5 linked regions of the Canis lupus familiaris genome follow. The protein of the gene in region 1 purifies or fractionates together with the protein of each later gene. This does not show direct contact. Links are inferred from orthologs where the notes say so. Each region holds a gene or a part of one and is shown in the gene's direction. Other genes may lie near its edges. The genes, in order: SRPK3, CCDC86, EBNA1BP2, FTSJ3 and SON.

Region 1 (2,227 bases):
CCTCTTCCCCCGCTGGAGGGGGCGAGCGCAGCCTCAGCCCGGGCTCCCAGACCTCAGGCTTCTCCGGCTCCCTTTTCTCTCCTGCCTCGTGCTCCATCCTCTCAGGCTCCTCCAACCAACGGGAGACCGGGGGCCTCCTGTCACCCAGCAGTAAGTTGGGCAGGGCCTGTGGGTAGACTTGGTGGGTGGCCGGCGGGCAGGGCTGCCTGCCCCCACCCCAGGCCAGCTCAGTCTCTCCCCACTTCTCTTCCTTCTCCAGCACCGTTTGGTGCCTCAAACCTCCTGGTGAACCCCCTAGAGCCCCAAAACGCAGACAAGATCAAGATCAAGATCGCAGACCTGGGCAACGCCTGCTGGGTGGTATGAGCTGGCCTGGAGAGCAGAGCTGGGCACCCTGCTGAGGGCAGGGGCGCAGGCCCGCTCCCAAGGAGCCCGTTGGGGCCCACAGTGCCACTCGACCAGACCCCAGGGTCTGCCTCATGACTCAGACCCAGGACTGGGCCCAAACCAGCATCTGTCCCATCCAGTCAGCGGAACTGGACCCACTGCAAGGGGCGGGGAGGCCAGTCCCTCTCGGGACCTCTGGGGACCCTGAGGCTGAGCGAACCCCACTGGGCTCCTTGGGTTCATGGGCCCAGAGGCGGTGGGAGATGGTGGGGGCCAGTGGGGGCAGGCCGGCTGTGGCCCCGGCTGCTCCCCAGGGCTCCCCTTGCCTCCAGCACAAGCACTTCACCGAGGACATCCAGACTCGCCAGTACCGGGCTGTGGAAGTGCTGATCGGAGCGGAATACGGGCCCCCCGCCGACATCTGGAGCACGGCGTGCATGGTATGCCTCAGCTGGGGCTGCCCAGGGCCAGCCCACCGGCTGGCAGCCTCACCTTCTCCCCCTTCCAGGCCTTCGAGCTGGCCACCGGCGACTACCTATTCGAGCCTCACTCTGGAGAAGACTACAGTCGTGACGAGGGTAGGGGGAGGCCGGCCCTGGGCTCAGCCTCGGGGCCTCCCAGCCGCCCGGCTGCCCCCCAGCCTCCTCTCTGTCTACAGACCACATCGCCCACATTGTGGAGCTTCTGGGAGACATCCCCCCAGCCTTTGCCCTCTCAGGCCGCTACTCCCGGGAGTTCTTCAACCGGAGAGGTAGGACTGAGCAGGCTCCGTTCTCCTGGATGTCCAGGGTAGGGCAGGGCCCACAGGCTCCCAAGCAGGGGGAGTGCCGGGTCCCGGGGCCCTCCCGGCAGAGCCTCACCCAAGGCCACTGCCCCCCCACCCCCCAGGAGAGCTGCGGCACATCCACAACCTCAAGCACTGGGGCCTGTACGAGGTGCTCATGGAGAAGTACGAGTGGCCCCTGGAGCAGGCCACGCAGTTCAGCGCCTTCCTGCTGCCCATGATGGAATACATCCCCGAAAAGCGGGCCAGCGCCGCCGACTGCCTCCAGCACCCCTGGCTCAACCCCTAGGCCTCGACGGGCACTTTGTGCAGCTTGAGGCGGGCCTTGATCACCCTCATGCCCCTCCCAGTGCCTTCAGGGAAGGCGGGATGCCTCCTGCCACCCTCCTGGGTGCCAGCTTTCTCATAGCCCGTGGCAGGGCAGGAAGATGCTGGAGCCTGGCCCACCGTTTAGAATTCGTTCTGCCCCCAACCCTCACAAAGGGCCCTGAGTGGGAAGTGTGCGTATTTCTTTTCTTAATAAAGTGTGAGCTGAAACGTCAGCATCCTGGAGTGACAGGAGCGCGGCGGCCGAGAGAGGGGACAGAGGGTGGTTTATTCTCGGTCTGCCCACCCACCTGGCTGCAGTGCCGGCAGTGGGAAGGGGTAGCGGGTGGAGGCAGTCCCAGGGACCGCCTAGGCTTCCACGGCCCGGCCGTTGATGATGCGGATGTGGCGGATGATGTCCTGGATGGCTTCCGACGTAGTGCCTTGGCCTCCTATGTCGGGGGTGTGCATCTGCGGGAGACAGACAGGCTCGGGCACACACACCCGGGACCTGCCAACACCTGACCCCCACCCTGTAGGCAGCCCGAGGGCAGCCCACTATCTCCCATGGCTTGGAGGGGCAGCGGGACCAGCTCAGGTCCAGAAAGCCCTACCCTGCCTGGTTCCGCCCTCCCCTTGGGGGCAGTGGGAGGTGCCAGGTCACCACTTCCTGCCCCTCAGATGGCACACCAGCTCCAGCCCTCCTGGGGGAAGGGGCTGGGGGGAAGGCAGGGGAGGGGAGAAGCGGAG
Region 2 (3,500 bases), on another chromosome or scaffold:
GGTGCCTGCCTGGCAAGCAGGTAGGAGAGCATGTAGTTCTGCCTGGGTTCTGAGGAGGAAGGCCCAGAGCCTGGAGCTGAGAGAAGAAGAGGCATGGGGGCCTCCCATGGATGACCTGAGCACTCATCCCTGGTCTCCCATCCAGGTTCTCCCAGATGGTACAGAGCAAGCCCCTGCGTACATCCTGGCAGCAGAAGATGAAGGAACGGCAGGAGAGGAAGCTGGCCAAGGACCTCGCCCGGCATTTAGAGGAGGAGAAGGAGAAACGCCAGCAGGTGAGGGGCCGGCCAACCAGGCTGAGGCTGGAGCTCAGGGAGCTGAGCCGGTGACTGCTGTAATAGGCCTTGGAGGGGGCACCTAACTGCCACAGGGAGGCAGGGAGCCTGGCCAGAAGCAGAAGTCCAGTATGGCCTGCAGGGTGGGAAAGCCCAGTGGAAGGTCCAGTTTGGCCCAGGGCTCTGTAAGAGACTCAAGTATGGGGAGGAGCCCAGGACAAAGTCCCCCTGCTCCCCACCCCCATGGTGGCTCTCACTGCTGATAGCAGCATTTGGTGAGATGGGCTTCAGGGTCCGCACCTCCATAGGAGAAAGGCTTATCCCTCGTACTGTGGCCATCATTCTCCAAGAAACAGCTACCACTTATCAGCAAGGTGGGTGCCTGTACTTCCCTCCAGCTTGCTCCCTGACACTCATCCCCAGGCCAGAAATGCCCCTTTAGAGGTTCCCATCGACCCCTTCCAGTCTCCAGGAAGCCCCAGCAGGCAGCACGCCAGGCCTGGGGTTGTCAGGGATGTTACTTGCCTAGTGATCCCAGGGCACGGGAGAAGTCAAACACCTCACCCTGAACCTGGCCACCGAGGGCAGGGGCTAGGCCAGTACGTTCAGTCCTCCATCCCCTGCTTTGAGTCACCCCACCAGTCCAGCCTGTGGCTGAGGCCCTGCAGACTGTGGCTGCTGCTGTGTGCCGACTCCTTATCATACTTCCTGTGTGGCCCTGACTCCCTCTTGGGCAAGACCCGACTTCTTGTCACCGCCCCCCAGGAGCGCCCCCAGCCCAACCCTTCCCCCAACAGGAGCCCATATCTTACTTCTCCTTTCTCCTCCTCTGGGGCCCAGGCCACCTCTGCTCTCCTGACCATGCCGTGGCCTCAGGCCCCACCAGGGACAGCAGGCAGCATAGCCAGGAGGCACCGCACTTCCCATTCCCGAGAAAGACTCCACCTAGATCCATCTTTGAAGTGTCCCCCCTGGGCCGGGTACCTGACGCACAGAGAGGTTCAGCAGCTTGGCCAAGGTCACCCATTTGGAAGTAGCAGAGGCAGGACTTGAGTCAGGGCCAGACAGCTCGGGAGCCTCTTCCCTATGGCCTCCACCCCTCCCAGCCCACACCTGGGCAAACCTTAGGGACCCTGTGAGGGTGGGAAGGAGGAAAGAGACCACTGTGCATGCCCAAGCTTCCAGGTGGGGGGAGCCACTGTGTCTCACTGCCCCCTACCCACCATCCTATCTAGGCTACGTGACCAGGTGCCCAACTTCTTGGCTGCAGTCAGGAACTTCCCACCACAGTGGGCCTCTGGTTCCAGGGGCACAGGCATATCTCCTTGCTGGCCCTCCCCCCACATACCACCAGGAACAATTGAACTAAGGTGAAGGTCTTTCCTCTCCTTGGGAACTCAGCCAGCTCTGACTCTTCTGAGACCTAAGCAACCAGGGCTGTCCCAGCTCCCAGACTCAAATCCTCATCCCCCTGTGTGTTCCAGGAGAAGAAACAGCGCCGGGCTGAGAACCTGAAACGCCGCCTGGAGAATGAGCGGAGGGCAGAGGTTGTCCAAGTGGTGAGTGTTGTCTTGCTCACGGGGATCTGAACCGCAGCCAGGCTGGGCACTGTGTTCGAGATGCCTCGACACCCCTGCCTCGAGACCTCTCCTTGTTCTGTGATCCAGACCCCTGTGGGGCAGCCTCCCTTCCCCCTGGGGCACAGGGCAGAGACTACAACCTACTAATGCCCTCTTCTCACACCACCCCCAGATCCGAAACCCCGCCAAGCTCAAGCGGGCAAAGAAGAAACAGCTTCGCTCCATTCAGAAGAGGGATACGCTGGCGCTGCTGCAGAAACAGCCGTCCCAGCAGCCAGCAGCCAAGATTTGAGCTCAGGACAACCCAGAAGTCTCCTGTGACCAACCGCTATGTCAGACTCGGCACTTGCCGGGCCAGTGGTCACACGCCTCTGTGGGATGTGGTACTCCAACACTAGTGCCACCCTCCTCCACCCCAGAGAGGCTATAGGCCTTTGAGGGCTCTCAAGCCCTAGGAAGCCAGGAGCCTGGCAGAACTAGAGGAGGGAACAGGTTCAGCCCACCCCTGCCTCCTTCCTCTTTCATCAAGTGCCTTACAACCACAAAGAGTCAGTTCTCTGGTTCCTTGGGAGCTGACAGCTGGAGGGTGACTCTTCAAAATGTGTATTTCTGTCTCAAGGTCACAGGTTCGCCCCTGACCAGGAGACTGCAGTCAGGAACCAGTTCCCCTTGCACCATCCCAGAGGCTGCCTTGGGCATCTCTGCAGCCCACTGACCCTGTCACCCAGCTGTTGGAACCCGGTTTCCCCGAGTTTTCAACATGGAAGGGTGAAGGAGGTTGCGGGGAATGACGTTCCCCGCCCCCCCCAGCGCGCTCTCACCTCTCTTGGACTGTGAGAAGGCTACCTGGGCATCTGATTCACTCAGACCATTCAGTCTGTAATAAAAATATTTATTGAACACCCATTGTGTACAGGCACAATTCTAGGTATGGGGAATACAGACAGAGGCCCCTGCCCACAAAGGGGCATTTTTCATTCTGATGGAAAAAAACCTAATAAACAAGGAAATAGTATTGTGTATCAGACTGTGAGAAGTGCTACAAATGAAGCAGGGGAGGGTCGCAGGGAGTGTGGCAAGGTGATAAGATGGGTGTGTGTTCAGTCTGCTGAGCCCCTGCTGCGGAAACCGTAAGCTGGCCGCCCGCCTTCAGGCCCCCAGCCAGGAGTGGCTCAGGCAGCACTGGACCCAGACCCCAAGAACGTCTCTCCCTCCACTCTTCTACTAGCATTTCACCCACCAGTTACTGGCCACAGCTCTGCACCAGGCCCCGGGACAGACCCGAGTGCAGCGCTCTTTGTCCTCTGGTGCGTGGTGGGTAGAGGAAACCTGGCGCAGTGGATGTGCTAACAAGGGAGGCCCAAGGTGGCCGTCACATCCACGCCCTGGAAGGGACAGCCACCCAGCCTCTAAGTGGTTGGGACGCAGGTGTTGGGAACATGAGGATTACCAGCGTTGCCCACGGGGCATCCCATGGAATACCGGCCTGTACATGTCATGTGCTGTGGTCTCGGAGGCTGCTGCGCACACTCAAATACTAAGAACGAGAAGACCTTCAGCAGAGATGCCCGCTGCACTTGGATTAGCCCAGGCTGACCACGGTACCTTCGATACCTTATAAACCCCTTGGGCGGTGCCGGGTCAG
Region 3 (3,134 bases), on another chromosome or scaffold:
GTCAGCCCAGATCCAAATAACATAAGCTGACAACATTTTGTGTTTTAGATTCGACAGAAGCTGCAGGCTAAACAGGCAGCCATGGAGAAGTCTGAAAAGGCGAAGCAACTGCGAGCACTTAGGAAATATGGGAAGAAGGTGAGAAGGAAAGTGTGTGGTGGGCATAGGATGTTGCTGAGTGTTTGTCAGCCCGGGGTGCCGGGGTCCGATCTGGTTCTGTGCCCTGTGTCTGTTCCATCTTGTGTTGATTATTGCACTGCAGAGGGGGGATGTGTGCTTGGATTCGTAAACACCATCTTTCCTTGACACTGGAGTCTTGAGGGGGCAGGGCTGGGTGGGAGGAGGTAGCCTGGTAACTGCAGGTGTGTCATTCATTTGCACATCTGTACAGTGAAGAGTTGGGTTCAAATCAGTGGGGCCAAACCCCACTCTACAGCAAAACCACCTGGGAAAATTTTTCAAAACAGATTTCTAGGCTTCAGGGTGTCAGGGAATCTGCAGGTATTGTCTTCTCTTCCCCGCAAAACTTTTTACATGATTCTGAAATGCATCCTGCTTTGGAGAATCGCTGGCCTAGATGTTTGTTAAGTCTTTGAAGGAACCATATCATTGATTGTCATCCAAGTGAGAGGACAAATGGCACCTGTGTGCTTGAACTGCTGTGGATGTCTGAGTTCTAATTTAAAATCTAGGGAAAGTGTCCTTGGTTTTTCCTCTTTATTTCATGGTTCTTTGGGAAAGACGATGACAGGAATTAAAGTCAGGGTAGTGGGAAGAAGTGAGTGTAAGGAGGATCAACATGAGTGTTCAGACTTTGTCAGCATTTTTGGACATAAACATTCATGATCTGGGGTGCTGTGCTGCTGTCCACATTTGGAGTCATTTCACTGACAAGTCCTCAGCAGAGTAAGAGTAGATTAGCATCCTGTTCTCTGCAGAAGGGCAGCTCTGCATTTATTGGATTGATCTGGTAGTTGATGGTTGAGGTCAACTCAAGGGCCTAAGTGGTTGGTAGTAACGGAACCTAATTGATCAAAGGCGAAGAAAAACTTCCTTTGGGCCTGTTAGCTCACTGCTTCTAATTTGAGGAAACATCATGTCAGTGGTTCTCAGTTGGGGATAATTTTGCTTAGCAGGGAATATTCAGCAATGCCTGGAGATATTTTTGGTGTCACATCTCAATGGGGACTGAGCTACTCAGATCTAGTGGATAGAGGGCAGGGAGGCTGCAAAATGTCCTACAGTGCCCAGGACAGGCCATCCACCCCTCCATAAAGAGTGATCCTGTCCAAGCTATCAATAGTATTGAGATTGAAAACGCTGCCTTCGAATGGAAGCATCTGTTTTTATCCTTACAACTGTTTTGCTTTTCGTTTTTTGGGGGGATTGTTTCTGTTGATACTTTCATGCCTACTAACAGTAGGGGCTAGATACAGAACCTGAGAATTGATTGTAGATCTAGATGTGACTTGCTATGGTTTTGTAGGCAGAATTGTGTAATCAGGTAAGAGTGTAGACCCCTGGGTGTGAATTCAGCTGTACACTTTCTTGCTGTGTGACTCAGGCAAGTTACTTAGGCTCTCTGTGCTTCAATTTCAGGGAGTGTTAGGAATTTCTGCTTCATGGGGTAGCTGAGAAGATAAACTAAGAATACACTTAGAGCTTTACCATAGTTCTGGCACACAGTAAATGTTAAGTGGCCGCGGTGTTAGCATAGTGTTACCAAGCGGATGTAGACACTTGCAATGATGGTGGTCTGGAGTGGGTGTGACAGCCCTATGTTCATGTCCCAGGTGCAAACAGAGGTTCTTCAGAAGAGGCAGCGAGAGAAAACACATATGATGAATGCCATTAAGAAATATCAGAAAGGTCAGTATATCTCCCTTCTAAGGATATAGGGGAGCAGGGGCCGCTGCTATTTTAACATATCCTGCTTCTAGAGCCTTGATTGATTTGGAACCATTGGACCTAAGGTTTGGGAACAGTGTGGGGAGCAGAATATGCCTCTTAAAATTAATTTAGCGGGATCCCTGGGTGGCGCAGCGGTTTGGCGCCTGCCTTTGGCCCAGGGCGCGATCCTGGAGACCCAGGATCGAATCCCACGTCGGGCTCCCGGTGCATGGAGCCTGCTTCTCCCTCTGCCTGTGTCTCTGCCTCTCTCTCTCTCTGTGTGACTATCATAAAAAAAAAAAAAAAAAAAAAAAAAAATTAAAAAAAAAATTTAAATTAATTTAGCAAGTAACCACCTTTTTTTTTTTTTTTTTTTAAGTAACAACCTTCTTTTGAAGCTTCAGTTTTTCTTAAAATGTGTTAATGCTGATCAAAGTACCTTTTCACCCCCAGGCTTTTCTGATAAACTGGATTTTCTTGAGGGGGATCAGAAACCCGTTGCACGGAAAACAAAGGAAGGAGCAAAAAGCCAGCAGATGAAGAAGGGGTATGAAGGATTCTGGTTTGGTTTTGTGGTGGGTACTGGGCAGGCAGTCCAGGGGCAAGTTGGGGAGACCATAGGAGTGGCCTCAGGGTTGAGAGAGCGCAGTGCTACCTGCAGCCAAGGCTAAAGGCCTATGTGATGGATCCTTTTAGCCATATCAGTCTTAGAAGATTAAAGTAGGGTGATCTAGGGAGCGCCTGGCTAGCACAGTCAGTAGAGCATTTGACTCTTGATCTTGGGGCTGTGAGTTCAAGCCCCACGTTGGACGTAGAGCTTACTTAAAAAAAAAAACAAAAAACTAAAGTAGGGTGATTTAAGCATCTGGCACATTTTAAGTGAATATTTAGTAGAAGTAGATTCCTCATCTCACAGCACAATGGTTAAGTGTATAGACCTAGGGTTAGGGTCTAAAGTCCACCATTTTGGGTAGTTTTGAGCAAGTTTCTTGCCTTTTTTTTTTTTTTTTTTTTTTTTGAGTTCAATTTGCCAACATATAGCATAACACCCAGTGCTCATCCCATCAAGTGCCCTCAGTGCCGGTCACCCAGTCACCCCCACCCCCTGCCCACCTCCCTTTCCACCACCCCTTGTTCGTTTCCCAGAGTTAGGAGTCTCTCATATTCTGTCTCCCTTTCTGATATTTCCCACTCATTTTCTCTCCTTTCCCCTTTATTCCCTTTCACTATTTTTTATATTCTCC
Region 4 (4,224 bases), on another chromosome or scaffold:
GTATATTTCCCTTATTGCTACGGTCCCTGCCCCCTCTTCAGGCTAAGGCACTGGGTGGCCCAACTCCTTTTATTCAGTCCCATGGGGTCCGCATTATCCCAACTGGGAGTTTCGGTCTCCCTTCTCGCTCTCACCCTGTCCCAGCCCGTGTGCTACGTCTCATCCCAGCTTCCGCGTTACCTTTTATAAGAAACCCTCAATTCAAACTTCTAAAAGGAATAGTACTTGGCAAAGAGTACCTCTTACGTCAAAATCTGACAGCCAACGATGTGTAATAAACCGTGTATACTGATTACCTTCAAAGGGTGAGAAGTGAGAGAAACAAGAAACTTAACTTCATATACTCCTATCCTTGACCAGTTACTTCTTCCACTGCGCCCCCACCGGACTACGTGGGTTTATATAAACATACTCCAGTCCCTCATCCCCTCCTAGCTGCCTCTGTAGTCCATCCTCACCTGGAGTTCTTCGATCTTGGACAGATAATATTGGCGGAGTCCACTGCCTGCCTTCCCCTCTTCCAGCTCCATCTGAAGACACAGGGTAATTATTAGCCCCCCAACCCCCAAAATGCAAGGGAAAAAAGCCTGGACTTTGGAGGAATGGGATTTGGGTTGAATTCCTCAGTCATCTCTTTAGAACCCTCCACTTCCCCGCGACTAACTCAAAGCAGAAGGAGAATGCCGCCTACCTCGTAAGACTTTCAGGAGGATCAAGGGACAACATGCACGAGAGCGCTTTGTACCGAGCCATCTTCCCCTCATTCGCTCCGCTTCCCCCGGGTCTTTCTCTCCCGGCCCTGCTCTGACCCGCCGCGGGCGGCGCTGACACAGCAGATCCGGTCCCGCGCAGGGCCCAGTCTGGATTGGTCCACCCACCCAACCCACCCGACCCCCTTGCCTCGGCCGTCTGCCCACCTCGGATCGCGCCTGCTTCGCATCGAGGCCCCGTCCCCACCCGGCCACCGCAGCCGCCGTACCTGCTCCGGCCCGTCAAGCGCCATCTTCTCTCACCCACGGCGGCCGCCGGCATCCGAGCCACCTTGGCGCGCAGGCGCAAAAATAGGGGCTTGGGGCCCGGCGACCCTGACAGAGAAGAATTCCGGGTCAATGGGCGGGGTGTGCGTCGCGACGACTACAAAAACAGAGGCCATGATGAGAAGGTGGCTACGCGAGGTCAGGAGCTTGGAAAGGGATGAGGAGGCCACGGAACTCCTAAATGTTGCTCTCTAGGAACTCAGTTTTAGATCAGGTAATCCGCTCACCTGGTCCCAACTTCCAACTTGCAATACTTAAGGACATAAAGAAAACTTTTCGGCCACGCTCAAAATGGCGGAAACTTGGAGCCGGAGACGCAAGCGACGCAAGCGGAAACGGAAGTACGTGTGCTGCCCCCCACGTGCCTCTCTCAGAGTGGTGAAAAAGGCAGAGATTCCCCGTGCTTGCAGAGACAAGTGGGGGACGGAAAGCGGCGTTTCAATTTTTCTGTCCCCAGGTTAAGTGACAGTCCTCCCGTTCCACTATGGGCAAGAAGGGCAAAGTCGGGAAGAGCCGGCGGGACAAGTTCTATCACTTGGCGAAGGAGACCGGTGAGTCAGGGTCCGCGCTGTCTGCGAGCTAAGGAGGGACGTTTTCGATTCTCTCCCACCTTTCCGAATACTGAGTTTCCGTTCTGTAGACGGGGTGGTGGGTTGTGAAGTCGCAGAAATCTCCCTGGGAAAGCCCCCCGCCGAGTTTAACATTTTGTCGGTGCCCCCAGGTTACCGCTCCCGCTCTGCTTTCAAGCTGATCCAGTTGAATCGCCGTTTTCAGTTCCTGCAGAAAGCACGAGCCTTGCTGGACCTGTGTGCTGCGCCCGGGGGATGGTGGGTACACCCGGCACCTGCGGCTCTTTGTGGCTGCGTTGAGGGTCCCGGCCGTGGAGGACTTGGAGTGGCACTGGGGGGCGGGAGGGATACGGCAATACCAGTCTCATGCTTTTCCTAGACGTAGGTCGGGGCACTGCACTTGGTAGCGCCTCTTAAGGCACGCGGTGAGAGAGCCTATTGCCAAGGGAGGGGGAGGAACGGTCTTGAGTTATTGTAGTCTTGAGTTATTTTAGTCGGCATTACTCTTTTCTAGGCTGCAGGTGGCTGCTAAGTTTATGCCTGTATCCAGCCTTATTGTGGGTGAGTAACGGATGGGCCCCCTGAGTGGTAAAGGGGTGGGAGAATGAGATACTAATTGTGTTCTGCATTTCCTTTCTCCTTGCTTAGGGCATCCCTTTGTAACTTTCTGACCTGATTTATTGCAGGAGTGGACCTGGTTCCAATCAAGCCTCTTCCCAATGTGGTGACACTCCAGGAGGACATCACAACAGAACGCTGTAGGCAGGTAACAGGAATCGCTCTTTTTCTGCGTCCTTTCTTTGGAGACACCCAAGTTTGTCTGTCTCGCCATCCCAAGTTCTCTAAAGGCAAGCCTTTTCTGTTTAACACATCTTAAGCAGTGCCTGTAGGATCTATATGACAAGGCTTATGATACAGCTTAGTCTTCAGTCCAGGCTTTTTTAAGTCAGGGGTGAGGTGTTTGGAAGAAGAGCAGCGATGTTGTTGAAATCTTTTCTTTGGGCTTGCAAGTAGACTGTAAGCTCTGTGAAGATAAATGCAATTTTGTTGTTGTTGCTTAATCATTATGTACCTGGCACAGGATTTGGCCAAATGCAGGCTATTCAGTAAATGATTGGGTGGACAAATGGCTGAATGAGGAATTGCATTCATAGCCATTTTTGTATTTCTGTTGGTATAATTGTTTTGTTTTGTTTTGTTTTGTTTTGTCTGAAGGCCCTGAGAAAGGAACTGAAGACCTGGAAAGTTGATGTTGTGCTCAACGATGGGGCCCCCAATGTTGGGGCTAGCTGGGTCCATGATGCTTACTCACAAGGTGCTGGGAGTAGGGGGACATGGAGATGAGGGTGGAGGTAGGCATGCTCTCTCAGGCTGCAGAGGTCCTCAGCTAATTGTTTCTCTCCCACAGCCCATTTGACACTGATGGCTCTACGTTTGGCTTGTGATTTTCTGGCCCGTGGTGGCTGCTTCATCACAAAGGTTTTTCGTTCCCGTGACTATCAGCCCCTACTGTGGATCTTCCAGCAGCTCTTTCACCGTGTCCAGGCCACTAAGCCCCAAGCCTCTCGCCATGAATCTGCGGAGATCTTTGTAGTTTGCCAGGGTGGGCATCATTTTTTTGTTTCTTAGCAGCTTTTACCAAAGTACGCTTTCTTACATATCCTATCGCTTTAGGATTCCTGGCTCCTGACAAGGTTGACAGTAAGTTCTTTGATCCCAAATTTGCCTTCAAGGAGATTGAAGTTCAGGCCAAGACTGTTACTGAATTGGTGACTAAGAAAAAGCCAAAGGTGGGTTTGGGGAATGGGGCCACTCTCCAGTCCTGGAGTCTGGGGGAAGTTGGGTCTGGTGGGTCCTATAGACATTTTAGAAGGGAATTTTCAACCTTCATTCTTTTTCTCTGTAAGGCTGAAGGCTATGCTGAGGGTGATCTCACGCTCTATCACCGTGCTTCAGTCACTGACTTCCTCCGAGCTGCCAACCCCGTTGATTTCCTCTCCAAAGCCAGCGAAGTGAGTCGTCAGATCTGAGGGGTATAGGGAAGCGCCAGAAACATGTCCATAAAAATTTCCCTGACTTGTTTCCTTCCTCCCAAACAGATCTCCCTGGATGATGAAGAGTTGGCACAGCATCCAGCTACCACTGAGGATATCTGGGCATGCTGTCAGGATATCAAAGTGCTAGGGCGCAAGGAGCTTAGGTATGCAGTTGGGATGGGCACAGAGCTAGGAGCCCCGAGGGCAGGGAAAGGCCTTTGAAGATGCAGCAGCTTTTTTTTTCTTGAGGGGACAATTTGAGGAATTCATATAGTGTTGGATCTTGGGACACACATGCTACTGTGCTAGAGATTTGAGGTGGGGGCCTAAAAAGGGGACAAGGACAAAGAAGGAAATGGTAAGATTAGTCATTATATTTCTGGGACAGGTCCCTACTGAACTGGAGAACAAAGCTCCGGCGATATGTGGCCAAGAAGCTGAAAGAGCAAGCAAAGGCACTGGACATCAGGTAAGGAAGGAATGGAACTAGGGTAGGTGGGGGCTGGGGGATTGTGTGAGGAAATAACCAAGGTGCTTGTACTGTTTTGTCAGCCTCAGTTCAGGAGAGGAAGAGGAGGAGGA
Region 5 (3,699 bases), on another chromosome or scaffold:
AGCTTAGAAAGCTGTTTCAAAGATTTTTTTTTTCTAAAATTCCATGGTTCTGAAAATTAAGTAATTGTGTAAAAATGAAACTGTACTAACTTCTAGTAGATAGGGTGAAAGAAGCACTGTTGGTGGGGAGTATCACCTGAAAGAAAATACAAAAATGGTGAAATGCGTGAACGGTGTAAGATTGTTTCAATCGCGTTAGAAATACTAATTCAGTGTATGGTGTGGTAAAAGTATTAATGAATTTTGGTAACTTTTCTTGTCAAGTGGAAGGAGTGAAGGCCAGCTCAATGGTGAAACAAATACACCTAATGAAGGAAACCAGGCAGGTGATGCAGCTGCCTCTGCCAGGAGCCTCCCAAATGAAGAAATAGTTCAGAAGATAGAGGAAGTACTTTCTGGGGTCTTAGATACAGAACTACGATATAAGCCAGGTAAGTTGGAGATAATTAGCTTTCTCAAAAACTTAAAAATTCTTAAGTAGTTGACAATATTATTTCTTTATGTTGTTTAAAAATGTTCACTTGGAAAAAAAATGTTCACTTGGTCTAAAACTGTAGTAAGTTTGAATTTATTTACTGAAAACTATTCAAAGTCTCTGAAAATACAGTTATATTTAAACATGAGCATTGATACTTGGTTGCTTTGTTGGTGGAATATAACTTTATTTGATTTAGTTTTGTAGTGCTTCTTTACCAGGATTTTGAATGCAGGTTTTCATGGAAAAATTGTTTAAATGTCCATTTTGGAAAGTATAAGAGCCTGAATCAAATTTGTAATGATTTTAAAACCCTAGGAGGTTTTATCCTAAAGCCCAAGTTTAGAGATTGCCTTGTTTTTGCATCTACCTTCTTACAAGTGCAATGAGTAGAGAGGAATCCTTGCTTTGATAATGTATTTTGGGAATTAATTAAATAATTGATGCTTAGAAACGAAAGCTTTATGATCAACCACAGAAATAACTAGCTTTGTTCAGTTTTGGAAATGAGGGGGTGGTATGGGTTTTTATTTTTTATTTTCATTATTTTTGATATAGCATATGGTAAAAAACAACCACCACCACCCAGCTTTGACTCCTGCTATCCTTAGATTTCATGGCTGTAGCAGTTTTTTCTTGAAGTATAACTTAGCTAATTGGTATTAGATATGTAAATAACAAGTAGTATAAAGTAGTTTTTCTTTGAAATGGATCTTGTCTTGTATTCATTTTTTCCATAGTCTTAGTGGCCTGGATTTCTGATCAGCTTTTCTTTTTCTTTTCTTTTTTTTTTTTAAAGATTTTATTTATTCATGAGAATACACAGAGAGGAGAGAGAGAGGCAGAGACACAGGCAGAGGGAGAAGCAGGCTCCATGCAGGGAGCCCGATGTGGGACTCGATCCTGGGTCTCCAGGATCACGCCCTGAGCTGTAGGCAGCGCTAAACCGCTGAGCCACCGGGGCTGCCCCCGATCAGCTTTTCTGGGACCACTAGAATTTAAGTTGGTATTGGCATTAGAGTAAATTAATCTAGTTGTAAAGAAGAAAACTGTTTTCTCTTCAGATACGCGGTGTTTTTAGGTTAAATGTAAAGGGGTATAAGAATTTCTTTCTTGGGCAGCCCCGGTGGCACAGCGGTTTAGCGCCGCTTGCAGCCCGGGGTGTGATCCTGGAGACCTGGGATCGAGTCCCATGTCGGGCTCCCTGCATGGAGCTTGCTTCTCCCTCACCCTCTCCCTCTGCCTGTGTCTGTGCCTCTCTCTCGCTCTCTCTGAATAAATAAATAAATAAATAAATAAATCTTTAAAAAAAGTGAATTTCTTTCCTGAAGGGACTTATTTTTTGAGTGGAAGCATTAAGATTATTTTAGTAATTTTAAAAAGAGCGTTGAAGGAAAAAGTGTTTTTATTAGAAGGTAACATGGGAATTTTAGTGAGATAAAATTCAAGTTTTGTGTTGGCATTTTATATTAGTTGTTCAGTCCTTTCTTTGTATGCTATATAAAAGCAATCACTAGTATTTGAAGGCTTATTATATGGCAGGCATTGTTCAACATACTTTGTATGTTTTAACTCCCTTTGTCCTGTAACTTTAGGAGACAGTGTCATAATTTTGCCAAGTCCATTCACCTAGTGAGTGTTAATTGATATAGGATCTAAAAGCAGACTGTCTGTTCCTGAGCCAGTGGCGTGTTGCTTTGGGTTATTAAATAGTCCTAAAAATTATTTAACAGGTGCATTTTTACAGGAATTTTAAGAGTTGGTAATATGAAGTTTTCTTAAGTGTAGTTTGAAAGTAGCTTGCTATAATTTGTAAGGTGGAGAAAATAGTTGTAAATAAGTTTGGTAAACGCTTTTTTTGTTTTTGTAAGGATTTTATTCATGAGAGAGGCAGAGACATAGGCAGAGGGAGAAGCAAGCTCCTCACAGGGAGCCTGATGTGGGACTCGATCCTGGATCCCGGGATCAGGCCCTGAGCCAAAGGCAGATGCTCAACCACTGAGCCACTCAGGCGTCCCATAGTAAACACATTTTAGCGTGACACTCAAGTTTTTGTGATAAACTGAGAATTTGTTTTTAACCCAGATTTTATTTTTTAAAGATTTTATTTATTTATTCATGAGAGACACACAGAGGCAGAGAGAGAAGCAGGCTCCCTGCAGGAATCCTGATGTGGGACTTGATCCCAGGACTCCAGGGTCATGCCCTGAGCCAAAGGCAGACGCTCAACTGCTGAGCCACCCAAGTTTCCCTTAACCCAGACTTTAGTTGTAGAAAGAAATATTGGGAAAGTTTCAGTCTTTAGGTAATTGGTTCATAGTAAAAAGTTTTAGTTGGTAACTTTATTTAATGAGAAGCATAATACTGTGGTATTTTAACGTGGAATGTAAATCTTGTTTAAGTTTACTGTGGGGAATGTTTGACAAATTAAAATTAACTTTCTTTAATTTCAGACCTGAAGGAGGCCTCCAGAAAAAGTAGATGTGTGTCTGTACAAACAGATCCTACTGATGAAATTCCCACCAAAAAGTCAAAGAAGCATAAAAAGCACAAAAATAAAAAGAAGAAAAAGAAGAAAGAAAAGGAAAAAAAGTATAAAAGACAGCCAGAAGAATCTGAGTCAAAGGTGAAATCACATCATGATGGGAACATAGATTTAGAATCAGATTCCTTTTTGAAGTTTGATTCTGAACCTTCAGCGATGGCACTGGAGCATCCTGTAAGAGCTTTTGGCCTTTCTGAGACCAGTGAATCTCCTGCAGTTGTGTTAGAGCCTCCTGTGGTGTCCATGGAGATATCAGAGTCACACACCTTAGAAACTCTGAAGCCAGCTACAAAAACTGCAGAACTGTCAGTTGCATCAACATCAGTAATTTCAGTGCAGTCAGAGCAGTCTGTGGCACTCACGCTGGAACCATCCATGACAAAGATTCTGGATTCTTTTACAACGGCACCAGTGCCTACTACAACAGTAGTGCTAAAGTCACCTGAGCCAGTTGTAACAATGTCAATGGAGTATCAGATGAAGCCTGTGCTGAAATCTTTGGAGACCATACCTCCAGAGCAGTCACAGATCATATTAGAACCTCCAGTAGCAAAAGGGCTAGAGTCATCGGAAACCCTTGTGGTATCGCCTGAGATACCTACTGAGGTACATCCTGAGCCAAGCACATCAACAACAATGGATTTTCCAGAGTCGTCTGCAACTGAAGGGCTCCCATTGC

What was found.
Region 2: the proteins of SRPK3 (region 1) and CCDC86 purify together in Homo sapiens (affinity purification with mass spectrometry; 3 studies listed by BioGRID and IntAct, with this or other methods). This does not show direct contact. The link is inferred for Canis lupus familiaris from reciprocal best matches to the Homo sapiens genes SRPK3 and CCDC86.
Region 3: the proteins of SRPK3 (region 1) and EBNA1BP2 purify together in Homo sapiens (affinity purification with mass spectrometry; 3 studies listed by BioGRID and IntAct, with this or other methods). This does not show direct contact. The link is inferred for Canis lupus familiaris from reciprocal best matches to the Homo sapiens genes SRPK3 and EBNA1BP2.
Region 4: the proteins of SRPK3 (region 1) and FTSJ3 purify together in Homo sapiens (affinity purification with mass spectrometry; 3 studies listed by BioGRID and IntAct, with this or other methods). This does not show direct contact. The link is inferred for Canis lupus familiaris from reciprocal best matches to the Homo sapiens genes SRPK3 and FTSJ3.
Region 5: the proteins of SRPK3 (region 1) and SON purify together in Homo sapiens (affinity purification with mass spectrometry; 3 studies listed by BioGRID and IntAct, with this or other methods). This does not show direct contact. The link is inferred for Canis lupus familiaris from reciprocal best matches to the Homo sapiens genes SRPK3 and SON.

Annotation. Positions count from the first base shown.
Region 1 is NC_049260.1:122,785,561-122,787,787, forward strand, and holds the end of SRPK3 (SRSF protein kinase 3), read left to right. Parts: coding exon 1-150; intron 151-259; coding exon 260-360; intron 361-719; coding exon 720-827; intron 828-895; coding exon 896-1,138; intron 1,139-1,275; coding exon 1,276-1,392; coding exon of another isoform or gene 1,393-1,460; 3' UTR 1,461-1,713; downstream 1,714-2,227. Other genes in the region: IDH3G (isocitrate dehydrogenase [NAD] subunit gamma, mitochondrial), read right to left, coding at 1,847-1,948. UniProt on the Homo sapiens protein: Serine/arginine-rich protein-specific kinase which specifically phosphorylates its substrates at serine residues located in regions rich in arginine/serine dipeptides, known as RS domains.
Region 2 is NC_049239.1:56,039,539-56,043,038, reverse strand, and holds the end of CCDC86 (coiled-coil domain-containing protein 86), read left to right. Parts: intron 1-145; coding exon 146-275; intron 276-1,759; coding exon 1,760-1,834; intron 1,835-2,027; coding exon 2,028-2,147; 3' UTR 2,148-2,877; downstream 2,878-3,500.
Region 3 is NC_049236.1:17,083,180-17,086,313, forward strand, and holds part of EBNA1BP2 (probable rRNA-processing protein EBP2), read left to right. Parts: intron 1-48; coding exon 49-138; intron 139-1,793; coding exon 1,794-1,869; intron 1,870-2,343; coding exon 2,344-2,437; intron 2,438-3,134. UniProt on the Homo sapiens protein: Required for the processing of the 27S pre-rRNA.
Region 4 is NC_049230.1:15,142,414-15,146,637, forward strand, and holds the start of FTSJ3 (pre-rRNA 2'-O-ribose RNA methyltransferase FTSJ3), read left to right. Parts: upstream 1-1,383; 5' UTR 1,384-1,521; coding exon 1,522-1,588; intron 1,589-1,758; coding exon 1,759-1,864; intron 1,865-2,120; coding exon 2,121-2,167; intron 2,168-2,292; coding exon 2,293-2,372; intron 2,373-2,821; coding exon 2,822-2,921; intron 2,922-3,014; coding exon 3,015-3,209; intron 3,210-3,280; coding exon 3,281-3,396; intron 3,397-3,513; coding exon 3,514-3,618; intron 3,619-3,705; coding exon 3,706-3,806; intron 3,807-4,030; coding exon 4,031-4,111; intron 4,112-4,194; coding exon 4,195-4,224. Other genes in the region: PSMC5 (26S proteasome regulatory subunit 8), read right to left, coding at 459-530, 980-1,003.
Region 5 is NC_049252.1:28,754,304-28,758,002, forward strand, and holds part of SON (protein SON), read left to right. Parts: intron 1-264; coding exon 265-431; intron 432-2,928; coding exon 2,929-3,699. UniProt on the Homo sapiens protein: RNA-binding protein that acts as a mRNA splicing cofactor by promoting efficient splicing of transcripts that possess weak splice sites.